4 linked regions of the Oryctolagus cuniculus genome follow. The protein of the gene in region 1 purifies or fractionates together with the protein of each later gene. This does not show direct contact. Links are inferred from orthologs where the notes say so. Each region holds a gene or a part of one and is shown in the gene's direction. Other genes may lie near its edges.

Evidence for each region. The genes of interacting proteins can lie anywhere in the genome.
Region 2: the proteins of COPS6 (region 1) and RHOBTB1 purify together in Homo sapiens (affinity purification with mass spectrometry; 4 studies listed by BioGRID and IntAct, counting the BioPlex papers as one, with this or other methods). This does not show direct contact. The link is inferred for Oryctolagus cuniculus from reciprocal best matches to the Homo sapiens genes COPS6 and RHOBTB1.
Region 3: the proteins of COPS6 (region 1) and BTBD2 purify together in Homo sapiens (affinity purification with mass spectrometry; 4 studies listed by BioGRID and IntAct, counting the BioPlex papers as one, with this or other methods). This does not show direct contact. The link is inferred for Oryctolagus cuniculus from reciprocal best matches to the Homo sapiens genes COPS6 and BTBD2.
Region 4: the proteins of COPS6 (region 1) and BTBD1 purify together in Homo sapiens (affinity purification with mass spectrometry; 3 studies listed by BioGRID and IntAct, counting the BioPlex papers as one, with this or other methods). This does not show direct contact. The link is inferred for Oryctolagus cuniculus from reciprocal best matches to the Homo sapiens genes COPS6 and BTBD1.

What each region holds. Positions count from the first base shown.
Region 1 is NC_091450.1:42,358,272-42,362,425, forward strand, and holds the start of COPS6 (COP9 signalosome complex subunit 6), read left to right. Parts: upstream 1-1,354; 5' UTR 1,355-1,412; coding exon 1,413-1,479; intron 1,480-1,688; coding exon 1,689-1,814; intron 1,815-2,005; coding exon 2,006-2,137; intron 2,138-2,386; coding exon 2,387-2,475; intron 2,476-2,575; coding exon 2,576-2,638; intron 2,639-2,928; coding exon 2,929-2,976; intron 2,977-3,061; coding exon 3,062-3,176; intron 3,177-3,260; coding exon 3,261-3,353; intron 3,354-3,433; coding exon 3,434-3,534; intron 3,535-3,627; coding exon 3,628-3,768; 3' UTR 3,769-4,154. UniProt on the Homo sapiens protein: Component of the COP9 signalosome complex (CSN), a complex involved in various cellular and developmental processes.
Region 2 is NC_091446.1:53,268,701-53,272,200, reverse strand, and holds part of RHOBTB1 (rho-related BTB domain-containing protein 1), read left to right. Parts: coding exon 1-891; intron 892-2,302; coding exon 2,303-2,421; intron 2,422-3,500.
Region 3 is NC_091447.1:58,981,611-58,984,202, reverse strand, and holds the end of BTBD2 (BTB/POZ domain-containing protein 2), read left to right. Parts: coding exon 1-35; intron 36-206; coding exon 207-404; intron 405-531; coding exon 532-724; intron 725-927; coding exon 928-1,015; intron 1,016-1,090; coding exon 1,091-1,237; intron 1,238-1,526; coding exon 1,527-1,688; 3' UTR 1,689-2,092; downstream 2,093-2,592.
Region 4 is NC_091443.1:101,886,706-101,890,205, reverse strand, and holds part of BTBD1 (BTB/POZ domain-containing protein 1), read left to right. Parts: intron 1-1,911; coding exon 1,912-2,058; intron 2,059-2,559; coding exon 2,560-2,718; 3' UTR 2,719-3,500.

The sequences.
Region 1 (4,154 bases):
TTATTTTCCATCCTTAGCAACTATGCCTCTGAGTTTAAGAGCAAGAAGCTGAGGTAAACTGGCTGGAGCTGTGCCGATCCAAAGCCAGGAGCCAGGAGCTTCTTCCAGGTCTCCACGCCGGTGCAGGGTCTCAAGGACTTGGGCCATCCTCCACTGCTTTCCCAGGCCATAGCAGAGAGCTGGATCAGAAGTGGAGCAGCCGGGACTTGAACCGGCACCTGTATGGGATGCCGGCCACTGAAGGCAGGTGGGGGCACCTCTAGGCCACAGCGCCGGCCCCCCACGTGCTCTTGAACCATCACCTGCTGCCTCCCAGGGAGTGTATTCCAGGAAGCTGGATCAGAGGCAGAGCTGGGACTGCACACGCATTTTCTGATGATGCAAGTGACACAAACAGCAACTTAACTGTTGAGCCAAACACTCGCCCCGAGGAATGAGGTAAACGGTTAATTCCCGTAGGCCAGAAGTCCCCTCACCCCGCAGCGTGTCTCAAGTCCATTCCTCTGAGAACTGTGGAACTCTGTTCAGGCTCCTAAGTGGGGTGACTGCTGGATTTCCCACCACTCTCCCCGGAACACCTCCTGGGACCAGCTCACACTTGGGGGCGGCGATGCAGACACCGAAACGGCCAGCCGGACCCAAACTGTAGCGGCAGCAGGAGGGGCGGTCGGTGACCGCAACCGGCTCGGGCTTGGGGGAGCAGGGAGAGCTGGGGTGGGCTGGAGCCGGCAAGGTTGGGAGGTTGGGATGGGTGGGGGCTGTTCCCAGTGCTGCACCTAATACCAGTATTTGGAAGGAGGAAAGATAGGATATGCAGACGGAGCCGCCCAAATCCCGGCTCCACCCCAAAGTTCTGCATCCATTCACTCAAAAAAAAAAAAAAAAAAAAAAAAAAAAGGCCCCCATGTGTGTTGGTCACAGGGGTACCGGGATGAGAGACAGGACTCCCAGCCCTGTGGCTGGCAGTCAGTGAGTATGTACGGAAAACAGATACGAGGTCCTGGCCGAACCCCAGGGACCCAAGGCTGGAAAGGTGGAAGCCAGGGCCAGGCCGCCCGGCAGGCAGGGGTCAGAGCACACGGCCTCTCGGCTTGCGGTCAGCAGTCTGGATTTCATTGTGAAAGTTGCCATTGCATTCATTCTGCAACCCCCTTAAGCGCTAGCCATTCTTGTCCCAGCTTTACTGCCGGGAACGATTCAGGCGGGGCGCGCGGAGTGGACTGATCCGGCCCAGGTCGCCCGCAGGCGAGACGCGGGGGTCACGCTCCACCGAGACCGCGCCACACTCAGGGAACTGACCGCTCGCTCCCGGGCGGCCCGACGCGCGCCGCGGGGACACCGCGCATGCGCCGCTCGCCGTACGGAAGCCGGGAGGGCAGGGGGCGGGGCCGAGGCTGGCGGGCGCGGGGAAAATGGCGGCGGCGGCGGCTGCGGCGAACGGGACCGGAGGGAGCAGCGGGATGGAGGTGGATGGAGCAGGTAACGGGCTGCGCGGGGGCGACTTCTGGAGACAGCACTCAGGGGTGCGTGCAGGCCGTCTTGGACTCCCGGGGGACGTGAGGAGGGCGGTGGGATAACTTGTGGGAGCGATGTATGGCCCCGGCTCTGCCGTCCCCCGACTCCCATCTCCAGGGAAGAGCGTGGGGGTCCGGAGACTCTCACCCTCTCTCCGTCCCCTGCACCGTCAGTAGTCCCCAGCGTGATGGCCTCCGGAGTGACCGGCAGTGTTTCCGTCGCCCTCCATCCTCTCGTCATCCTGAACATCTCCGACCACTGGATCCGCATGCGCTCCCAGGAGGGGCGGCCTATGCAGGGTGAGTGTTGGGCGTGCTTCTCCGACCCCGTCCCCTCGGTAGCTCCCCGGGCCTCGTCAGCCGAAGCCAGTCCCCCTCCCCCATCACTGTTTCTGCAGCAGTCGGCCCACACGTGCCCTCAGACCCCCAGCGGGAGATCAAGTTTTGGGATTCCCTACCGTCCCCTCTCACGTCCGTTCTCTTCCCCCCAGTGGTCGGGGCTCTGATCGGGAAGCAGGAAGGCCGGAATATTGAGGTGATGAACTCCTTTGAGCTGCTGTCCCACACCGTGGAAGAGAAGATTATCATCGACAAGGAGTATTATTACACCAAGGAGGAGCAGTGTGAGAGGGGAAGCCAGTGGGGGAGAGGTGTGGGGGGTCAAAGAAAGAAAAACAAAACAAAACACAGGACCGGGGAGAAATAACCAGGAGAGGAAGCCGAGAATGGAAGAGTTAATTCACCTGAAGAGATCTCAAGACGGTATTCCCTAAAACGGTGTACAGGATGAGCGGTCAGAATAGCAGGGGTGAGGAGGGAGGGGGAGCTCGGAGGCAGGGAGGGTGGTTTAAAGAAGTACGATTGCTCTCCAGTTAAACAGGTATTCAAGGAGCTGGAGTTTCTGGGCTGGTACACCACAGGGGGGCCGCCTGACCCCTCCGACATCCACGTCCACAAGCAGGTACAGATACAGACGCTCACACCTGCGACTGGCGGGTGGGGGGCGGGGGGCGGGGAGAAGAGGGTGGGACGTCCACCTGCACGCCGGCCCTCTCCTCCAGGTGTGTGAGATCATCGAGAGCCCCCTCTTTCTGAAGTTGAACCCTATGACCAAGCACACAGACGTGAGTAGTCCTGACCTCGTGCCGTGCTTGTTTGTCGGTCCGCTGTTGCCGGTAGCACAGCTTCTTAGCAACTGGGCAGTGCTGGGGTTGAACCTCCGTTCTGCCCTTAGCAGCTGCGTGGCTTTGAGTGGCGTTTAACCTCCACATTGCTGTTTCACATGTGAAACGGGGATACTCCCTACCTCCCTGGGTTCTTGTGAAGATCGGATGGGAGGCGGTGCCCACGTGTAGCACCTAGTGGAGATTCAAGTCATTTGCTGTTCCTAAGAGCTGTTCTCTGTTCTTTACAGCTTCCTGTCAGCGTTTTTGAGTCTGTCATTGATATAATCAACGGAGAGGTAACGCCTGACCCCTCACCCCTCAGGGCCTGCTCGACGCATTTCCGATTTTGACTCTCACTGTCTGGGACACTCTGCTCCACAGGCCACGATGCTGTTTGCTGAGCTGACATACACTCTGGCCACAGAGGAAGCTGAACGCATTGGTGTTGACCATGTGGCCCGAATGACAGCCACAGGCAGTGGAGAGAACTCCACCGGTAATGGAGGGGATTCCTTGGAAGCGAGGGTGGGAGGTATGGCCAAGTGCCTTCTCACTCTCTGCCCGTGCCTGTCCCTTGCAGTGGCTGAACACCTGATAGCACAGCACAGCGCCATCAAGATGCTGCACAGCCGGGTCAAGCTCATCCTGGAGTACGTCAAGGCCTCTGAAGCAGGTAGGGCAGGCCTGTGGCGTCCACCTCCCCCCCGGCCAAGTGACAGCATCCATGTGAATGCGGTCTCTTCTTGTCTGTAGGTGAGGTCCCCTTTAACCATGAGATCCTGCGGGAGGCCTATGCTCTGTGTCACTGCCTCCCAGTGCTCAGCACAGACAAGTTCAAGACAGACTTTTACGATGTGAGTATGAAACCCGGCTGGGGAGGTTTTGCTCACAGGATGGGACTGCAAAGAGGGATGCCTGGAGAACTGGTTCTTTCTGTTCCCCTGCAGCAATGCAATGATGTGGGGCTCATGGCCTACCTCGGCACCATCACCAAAACCTGCAACACCATGAACCAGTTTGTGAACAAGTTCAACGTCCTCTATGACCGACAAGGCATTGGCAGACGGATGCGGGGCCTCTTCTTCTGAGGCCACTTGAAAGGATGCACTGGGCTCAGCGGCCTGTCCCAAGGGGAGGGGCGCGCCACTCCCTTAGAGAACCGCTGTGGTCAATAAAAGGGGATCAGCCCCTCAGCACCCCTCCCAGTGGCTCTGTCCTCTCTGTCGGGCACCAGATTTCCCAGTGGGGACCTTAGGTGAGGCCCCTTGTGCCAGCTTTGTGAGGCAGAATCTGTGTCAGCACTTGGCAGTGCACTGCCTCCTGAAGTGACCCCACAGCCAGTTGGGTGGAGGACTCAGGAGCACCCGCGATCTTTGCTCTGCGCTTTCACGTCACCCTGTGGGGTCCACCTGAGCTCAGTGCAACTGCTTTCCCCATTTAAATTAACTTCATTAAAGTTTTTCTCATACATAAA
Region 2 (3,500 bases), on another chromosome or scaffold:
GTGTATTTGACCAATTCGGAATCAAGGATGTGTTTGACAATGCAATACGAGCCGCGCTGATTTCTCGCCGCCACCTGCAGTTCTGGAAATCTCACTTAAAGAAAGTCCAGAAACCTTTGCTTCAGGCCCCTTTCCTACCTCCAAAAGCCCCTCCACCGGTCATCAAGATTCCAGAGTGTCCTTCCACGGGGATGAATGAAGCTGCCTGTTTACTGGACAGTCCCCTGTGTGCGGATGTCCTGTTCATCCTGCAGGACCAGGAGCACATCTTTGCACATCGGATTTACCTCGCTACCTCTTCTTCCAAATTCTACGATCTTTTTTTAATGGAATGTGAAGAATTCCCCAATTGGGGTGAAGGAGTGTGTGAGAAAGAGAAGCAGAGCACGGATTTCCAGGGGCGGACTTTGAGTCCTGACCTAGATGGGGAGAGGGAGGAAGGCCTGCCTCGGACACCGCAGGCTGATCAAGGGAAGTCGTCAAGGAAGTTCCTGCTGGAGGCCACGGGGCCGGAAGCTGAGGGCTCAACTCCCGAGACACAGACTTTGGCCGGCTGGAGTAAGGGGTTCATTGACATGCACAAGGAGATGCAAGTCAATCCCATTTCAAAGCGAGTGGGCCCCGTGACGGTGGTCAGAATGGACTCCTCCGTCCAGCCAGGCCCTTTCCGCACCCTGCTCCAGTTTCTTTATACAGGGCAACTGGATGAAAAGGAAAAGGATTTGGTCGGCCTGGCTCAGATCGCAGAGGTCCTAGAGATGTTTGATTTGAGGATGATGGTGGAAAACATCATGAACAAGGAAGCTTTCATGAACCAAGAGATTACAAAAGCTTTCCACGTCAGGAAAGCCAATCGGATAAAAGAGTGTCTCAGCAAGGGGACCTTCTCAGGTGAGCCGGTCACCATCTGTTTCCATCCCCTGCTCGGTTGCACATCACACCCCCTGGCCCTGCTCTGCTGCAGTTTCCTGATATTTGCACTCTCGTGCTGCCTGCAGCACCCTCACACAGTTGCTTAAGCACTCTGGTGGCCTGCATCCAATCTGGGTTATGATCCATTCTTACACAACTCCTGCTGTCTGACACAGTACTTTTGTTGTGAAATTATCCTGTGTATGTGAACAAGGGTGTATTTCATTGTAAAAAGTTGACTCCCTGGCTTCTATACCAATGGATACTTACATTTTTATCTTTATCTTTAATAATCACTGCTCTGTATGGTGCTACGCATTTAGAAGTGGTTACTGAATCTGTTGACTAATTTTAAAACTTATGAGCAACATTTGCTCCAAACATTGGCCATTGTGGTATAGAAGCAGTATTGGAAGTTAATGAAAAGAATGTCACAAGTGCAGGCAGCTGGCACAGAGGTGACTAGCACTGCTTGGGATGCCCTCGTCCCATATCGAAGAGCGTGGGTTAGAGTCCGAGCTCCACTTTCATTCCCAGCTACCTGCTAATGTGCACCCTGGGAGGCAGTAGTGATGACTCAAGTAGTTAAGTTCCTGCCACCCATGTGGGAGACCTGGATTGAGTTCTGGGCTCCTTGCTTCAGAACTCTTGTAGTCATTTGGGGAGTGAACCACCCAATGGAAGATCTCTCTCTCCCTCTCTCCCACCCCATGTATATGTGTGTGTTTCTTTCTCTCTCTGCTTTTCAAATAAAATGAAAATAAAAATATTTAAACAGAAGTTGCTACAGATTGTTAGAAAATTAAGTTATGGATCATTAGACAAATTTGTCATGAACTGAATGGTGATATTAGAAAATTATTTCTAATTTTTTTGGTCGCAATATTGGCATGGTTATTTAGGAGAATGTTCTTTTTTGAAAATTCCTGATAAAGTAGTTAGGAGTGACATGTCATATTACCTATTAGAAAAAGTCTACCCACATATATGAAGTTATATATAAATACACATACAGCTGTAGCACATGTGGCAAAATGTTAACAGTGGATAAATGAGTGATTACTATTCTTTCCACTGTTCTGTGTTTGGAATTTTTCATAATAAGAAGTGGACAAAAATATTCCTCTCCTTTTTGTTACTTCCTGGTTCAGGGAATTTGTGTTGTCACTTCTCCTTTTTGTTATTTCCTGGTTCAGAGACTTTGTGTACGTTTAAACACTTGCTCTTCAGTGTGGGAATCAGGTGTGGGAGAGATAGGGGTTGACATAAAACCAGTAAATAAAGACAGAAGAGAGAGTAAGGGACCTGCAGGGTAAAAGGCGGAGCAGAAGCCTTGAGTAAACTCTCTGTGAAGCTGGCTCACTGTTGCGTTCCCTCAATCCTTTGGCAGATGTGACCTTTAAGTTGGATGATGGTGCCATCAGTGCCCACAAGCCACTGCTGATCTGTAGCTGCGAGTGGATGGCAGCCATGTTTGGGGGGTCATTTGTGGAAAGTGCCAACAGTGAGGTAAGGTGCCTTCTACACAGCCTTGTGGTAGCTCCATCAGCGTGTGAGGGTGCATGTTTAATTAGCAAGATGATTTAAGTTCTTCAACTTCCCATGAAATATGCCCTGGACAGTGCTCGAATGTGTGGCTGCCCTTTTTTCATTCTGCAACAATGAGGAGCTGTTGATTGTTGGTCATTTGTTGTGTGTGATGAACACCTGGGTGCTTTACATGCTCTACATACTTTCATCCTCACAGCTTTCCTCACCCATAGAGACATGAACAGCTAGCTATCCTTTTTTTTTTAAATCACCAAGCAAGGTACTATCAAAATCCAGTACGAGAGGGACAGAGCCTATCTTCCAAGGACTCAGAAAAGTCAGAGTTCTTCATTCACTGAAGTCACTCTTACCCAGACAGGACCTTAAGAAGCCACACTGTTGTGCCTTGTTCTGCCCTGCAAGATGAGGCATGCACCAAATCACCCTAGAGGTCCCCAACAGCACAGCACTCCCTAAGCCTCGGCCCTGACTTCACCAATGGTGAGCAGAGAGGAGGGTTTGTTACTTGTAGGGAAACAGTAATGGAACAAACATCCCTCTCTAAGTACATAGGTCTAGTAGAAACTCCTTGGTTGGGTCTGGCACTTCGGTGTAGAAGATTAACCTCTGCCTGCAGTGCCGACATTCCATACAAGTGCCAGTTCGAGTCCTGGCTGCTCCATTTCTGATCTAGCTCTCTGGTAGTGCACATGGGAAAGCAGTAGAAGATGGCCCAAGTCTGTGGGGCCCCTGCACCCACATGGGAGACCCTGAAGAGGCTCCTGGCTCCTTGGCTTTGGTCTGGCCCAGCCCTAGCTGTTGTGGCCATCTGGGGAATGAACCAGTGGATTGAGGGTCTCTCCTCTCTGAAACTTTGACTTTCAAATAAATAAATAAATCTTAAAAAAAAAAAAAAAAAGGAAAAGAAACACCTAGGTCACTTGTTATCCAATGACCTTATCCTAAATAGGAGATATTCTTAGAACACAGCAAGCAGTGTCTTAGAGACAATATGTCTTTATCTTTTTTTACAGACTCTATTGGGAAAGGGGGAAAAG
Region 3 (2,592 bases), on another chromosome or scaffold:
CATCGCCGCCGAGGGCTTCACGGACATCGACCTGGGTGCGCGGGCGGGGCGGGGCCCGGGGGCGGGGCAGGGCGTGGGAGTGGGCGGGGCCGAGTAGAGGGACATCGACCTGGGTGTGCGGGCGGGGCGGGGACGGGGGCGGGGCGGGGCCGAGCGGCCGGGGCGCGCTCCCGGTGACAGCCCCGCGCCCGCGCCCGCGCCCGCAGACACGCTGGTGGCGGTGCTGGAGCGCGACACACTGGGCATCCGGGAAGCGCGGCTGTTCAGCGCCGTGGTGCGCTGGTCCGAGGCCGAGTGCCAGCGGCAGCAGCTGCCCGTGACGCCCGAGAACAAGCGCGCGGTGCTGGGCGCCGCCCTGGGCCTCATCCGCTTCCCGCTCATGACCATCGAGGAGTTCGCGGCAGGTGCGCGGCGCGCGGCGGGTGTGGGGAGCCCCGTGCGTCCTGCGCCGCGTGGGTGCCAGGGGCCCTGGGGCCGCTCCCGGCGTCGGGTGGGGGCGGCTGCCCGCTGAGCGCGTCCGCCCGTGCGCAGGCCCCGCCCAGTCGGGCATCCTGGGCGACCGCGAGGTGGTCAGCCTCTTCCTGCACTTCACCGTGAACCCTAAGCCGCGCGTGGACTTCATCGACCGGCCGCGCTGCTGCCTGCGCGGGAAGGAGTGCAGCGTGAGCCGCTTCCAGCAGGTGGAGAGCCGCTGGGGCTACAGCGGCACCAGCGACCGCATCAGGTGCGGCGCCCCCCCCCCCGCACGCTCACGCGCCCCCGCCCCCCCCTCGGGTTCCTGCAGTCCCCGCCCACCACCCCGCACGCTCACGCGACCCCCACGGCGGGTTCCTGCAGACCCCCCCCCCCCGCACGCTCACGCGGCCCCTCCCGCGGGCTCCTGCAGCCCCCCCCGACACCCCCGCACGCTCACGCGCCCCCCCCCAGGTTCTCCGTCAACAAGCGCATCTTCGTGGTGGGCTTCGGGCTGTACGGCTCCATCCACGGCCCCACCGACTACCAAGTGAACATCCAGGTGCGCCCGGGCCGCCCCGCCCCCGGGGGGAGGGGGCCCCCGCGCGCGCCGCCCCTCACCGCGCCCCTCCCCCAGATCATCCACACGGACAGCAACACCGTCCTGGGCCAGAACGACACCGGCTTCAGCTGCGACGGCTCGGCCGGCACCTTCCGCGTCATGTTCCGGGAGCCGGTGGAGGTGCTGCCCAGCGTCAACTACACGGCCTGCGCCACGCTCAAGGTGCGCCCGCCCCCGCCCCGCCCCGCCCCCAGCGCCCGGCCCCGCCCCTGCCCCTCCCCGCCAGCCACGCTCAAGGTGCGCCCGCCCCCGCCCCGCCCCCAGCGCCCGGCCCCGCCCCGCCCCCAGCACCCGGCCCCGCCCCTAGCGCCCGGCCCCGCCCCCAGCGCCCGGCCCCGCCCCGCCCCCAGCGCCCGGCCCCGCCCCCGCCAGCCACGCTCAAGGTGCACCCGCCCCACGGCCGCCCGCCCCCAGCGCCCCGGCCGCCCCGCTGACCGCCCCCGCCCCTCAGGGCCCCGACTCGCACTACGGCACCAAGGGCCTGCGCAAGGTGACCCACGAGTCCCCCAGCACCGGCGCCAAGACCTGCTTCACCTTCTGCTACGCCGCGGGAAACAACAACGGCACCTCGGTGGAGGACGGCCAGATCCCCGAGGTCATCTTCTACACCTAGGCCCGTCTACACCTGGGGCCCGCGGTCGCCGTCTACACCTGGGGGGCCCGGCCCCGGCCCCGAGGTCGTCCTCTACAGCTAGCGGCCCGAGCCCCCACAGCCCCCAGAGCCCCGGGGTCATCTACACCTAGCGGCGCCGGCCACGGGGACCCCGCGGGGGGAACGCGACCTCGGCCCCACGAGCCCCGAGGCGGAGGCCGGTCGTGGCCTCCGTGGCCGCCGCCGCCCAGCCCGTGCCCAGGCGGCGCCTCCGACCCGGGGCCGGGGGCGGGGCCGAGGCTGCGGCCAGACCCAGGGCGGCGCCCACCTGTACATAGCCGACCCCCGCCCCGCCCCGCGACCCCCGCCACGGGAGGCCGCTCATGCGCCCCCGGATGATTTTTTTAAATAAAGGGAGAAACGCACGTGCCCTGAGCCGCACCCCTTCCGTCCGCGCTCAGCCCGCGGGCGCTGCCCACGGCCCCACGGGAGGAGCGGCCCCGGGGACGCAGCCACGAGGGGGCCCGAGCGGCACGCGCCGTCCGCGGGAGACGAGCGGTGGCCGGAAGCCGACACCCCCCACCCACAGGCACACACGGGGAGGGCACACTGGGGGTCCCGCCTCTGCCGCCAACGCGACGCCCTGATGACGGCCGGGCGGGCTCCCGGGCGCGGGCGGCCGCGGATGGGAGGGCCCTGGGCACCTCTGCCTTCTCCGTCTTCAGGCAGACATTGACGCCACTCACCGCTGCGCCGAAGCGCGCCCCCTGTTGTTCTCAAGGATGTTTGAAGGGCGGCGGGGGGGGGGGGGAGGCCCTCCACCTGCCGGGTCACTCCCCAGTCGGCCGGGGCTGTGCCGATCCGGAGCCAGGAGCTCCATCCGGGTCCCCCACGCGGGTGCAGGGCCCCCAGCACCTGGGCCATC
Region 4 (3,500 bases), on another chromosome or scaffold:
AGGAGCTTCCCCCAGATCTCCCACGCAGGTGTGGTGGCCCCAGCACTTGAGCCATCTTCCACTGCTTTCCCAGGCCATAGAGAGCTGGATCAGAAGTGGAACAGCCAGGACTCGAACCAGCACCCATATGGGATGCCGGCACTGCAGGCAGTGGCTTTACCCGCTAGGCCACAGCGCCGGCCCCATAACTCAAATAAATAAATATTTAAATAATATTCAAATAAATAAATATTTAAACAGGACTGTTTATTGGAAGTACCTGGAAGGCTTGTTCACAGTACCCGCCCAGGGTCCCTACCTCAGAGATGGACGGGAAGTCTGTACCGTTGAAGTAGCAGGGCTGGGCACAACAGAGGCAGCATTTTGTTGTACAAATTCATCATCTTCATCCGCCTGTTCGTAGGGAACCACTTCACCTTACACCCAAGGGACAGACATGCACTTCTTCAAGAACAACTTTGGACAGATGGAAAGTGCCAAAGGCCTGTATTATAGTAGCAATGACACGTGGGTTTCAAAGGCAGAGAGAGAGGGGCTGCCTTCTGTCCACGCTTGGAAGAGCAGTAGTCAACCCCGTGCACTGTCACTGGCTCCATACCCCATTAAGGAAAGACGGTAGACTGAGGGCTGAGTGCATCTCCATTTCTCTAACATCCCCACGGACAGCAGTATTGAGAGCAGCGAGTCAGAAAGGCGAGTGATGGGCAATGGCAGAAGGCAGGCGAGGCTGATAGGTCCCACGTTTCAGAGTTCCTGCCCTGGGTCTTGCCAGGTGAAGGGCGATGGAGAGCCCTGCTGAAGCCAGGGAGCCCTGCGAGGTATAGCGGTGGGCGCATCAGCGACCTGCGTGAGCCTCCCTCTCCTCCCTGCCGTCAGTCAGGCGGAACCCACGCCACGGCGAGGCTGCGTGGAACGTGCTAGCACTCGGCCAGTCACTGTCGTGTGTCGTTACTTTGATTCTCACAATAATCTTGGGAAGAAGGTAAAGCAAGATTCGTTCCCAAATGAAAAGATCCGAGTGAAACTCAGGAGAAGCCCGTGGTTTTTTCCTGGATTGCACAGTCACAGCCAAATCCCATGCCCACTGCTGTTCTCCAGGGCACCATCATGGTGTGTCCTTTCAGTATTTTTTTTTAATTGAACTTTGATAGACACACAGGAAAAGTGTGCATATTCTATAAGTGGTACTGAGGGCTCAGTTTCCATAAACTGCACACCGCTGGGAACCCAGTACCCAGTCCCTGCCCGCACTGGGGCTCCTGTCCTGACCTAGTCAGCACACATGGCTTCAGCTTGTTTCACTGTTACTGTTTCCATCTCCTTTTTAATTTTCTTAAAAATTTTTTATTTGAGAGGTAGAGTTACACACCGGGAGAGACCGAGAGAGAGGTCTTCCATCTGCTGGTTCACTCCCCAGATGGCTCCAGGTCTCTCATGCAGGTACAGAGGCCCAAGGACTTGGGCCATCTTCCATTGCTTTCCCAGGCCACAGCAGAGAGCTGGATGGGATGAGGAGCAGCAGGACACAAACAGGCAGGCGTTCATGGGATGCCGACGCTGCAGGTGGAGGCTTAGCCCACTACGCCACAGCGCTGGCCCCTGAAGGTCATTTTAATTGCAGTAAATTACATTAAGACATGGGCAATGGTGAGGGGGTTTTCTAGCAACAAGACGTCAGCTGGCAAGCATTAAAGGCTCATGTCCCTTAGGTGAAGTGCACACATTCTAAAGCCCTTTTGGGGACGCTTCTCTGTCCCCCAGCCAAGGCCAACTTGGAGCTCCTGCCCAGCAGGAAGTAGCGCCTCTCTGCTCCTGGGGCTCTCAGCAGGAGAGAGAGAGAGTCAGAGCACAGACTCAGTGGTCCATTCGACTGCTTTGACTTAAATATAATTAACCTTTCAAAACTTACAGATCATTGAATATGAAAAAAAACAAACCCTGGGACAAAATGATACCGGCTTTAGTTGTGATGGGACCGCGAACACGTTCAGGGTCATGTTCAAGGAGCCCATAGAAATCCTGCCCAACGTGTGCTACACAGCGTGCGCCACCCTCAAGGTAAGAGCGGCTTAGAGCGTGCGCGCGCGTGCATACACACACACACACACACACACACACACCCCGGCGCTGGTGGGGCCCCAGCTCGGTCCTGGATGCCTCAGGAGCTGGGAAGCACCTGCAGAGCGGGGTGGAAGGCAGGCTGGGAGCTGACCTATCTCGTGGTCTGGGGAAAGAAGTGCTCCTCGGTACAGCTCTTTAGGAGGAAATGGGTCTAAGAAGTAGCCGCTGGTCTGAGTAGGAAATTAGAATGTCTGAATGAATGGAAAATAATTACTTTCTTGAGAGCTCTTACTCCCTAATAGCCGAGCTCTGCACTCAGTCTGCACTCTGTGCTCATTAATTAGCTTTTGGGCAAAACCTTCGTTTTTCATTAAATGACTTAGCATAAAATTTTGTAGGAGCTATAATGGAATGTAAACCACTAATCTAATTAAAATAGCACATTAGATTGAGGGTTATTAAGTGAAAATTGCTCATGAACCTTTTGTTCTCACTCAGGGTCCGGATTCCCACTACGGCACAAAAGGACTGAAGAAGGTGGTCCATGAGACCCCGGCCGCGAGCAAGACTGTTTTCTTATTTTTCAGTTCTCCTGGCAATAACAATGGCACTTCCATAGAAGATGGACAAATCCCAGAAATCATATTTTATACATAGTTTAGCATCACAGTACATCTTAGCTCAGTAGTACCATACCGTCTAGTCTCAAAACCACAAATAACTGGCCCCAAAAATAGCTGGAGTGTTTGAGTATTTATAATTGTAAAATAAAAAAACATTTTAGTTTCTCAAAGGAGATAGGAAAATGTTCATTGAAATCTCTGCATGACTGACTTAAAGGCAGGTTTTCCATTTTCTTACGATCTTAGAGGAAGAGAACTGGGTGTAATTGTATAGAAACAAAAGCGAAGCTATTTCAGCTCCGCCTTGTATAATTTCCTAGGTCAGCTGGGTCACGGTCTTGGAATAGTTCTGGAATCATCTTGTTTTATGTAGCTGGTTTTGTTTTCTGTTTTTGTTTTAGCCGTTTGGAAGGGTTAGATGAGTTGGGTCAGTATTCCTACAGTCCCAATGAGCTCTCATAACTAATTTCAAAGAATTAATAAAACTGACTTTATATTCGGGGTTTGAAATATCTGGTGGCTAGCATTTGGAGAGATGCTAAAAATAGACCTAATAAATGCCCAAGAAAATGGTCAATGCATTTAAAGGAACAGATATTTTGTAATAGTATAGAAACGTGTTACATAATACAGTGTAAAACTATTAATGGAGTTTGTATAAATTCGCAATAATGCGATATAAGCAAAGGGCCTAACGGTGTGGGCTAGGACTGATTCCTGTTCAGTAGACAGACTGCGAGGCTCGGCCGCGCCTGTCCGGGGGCTGCGGGGACTGAGCGGAGGCCACTTCAGCACCGCGGTCAGCGCACCCGCGCT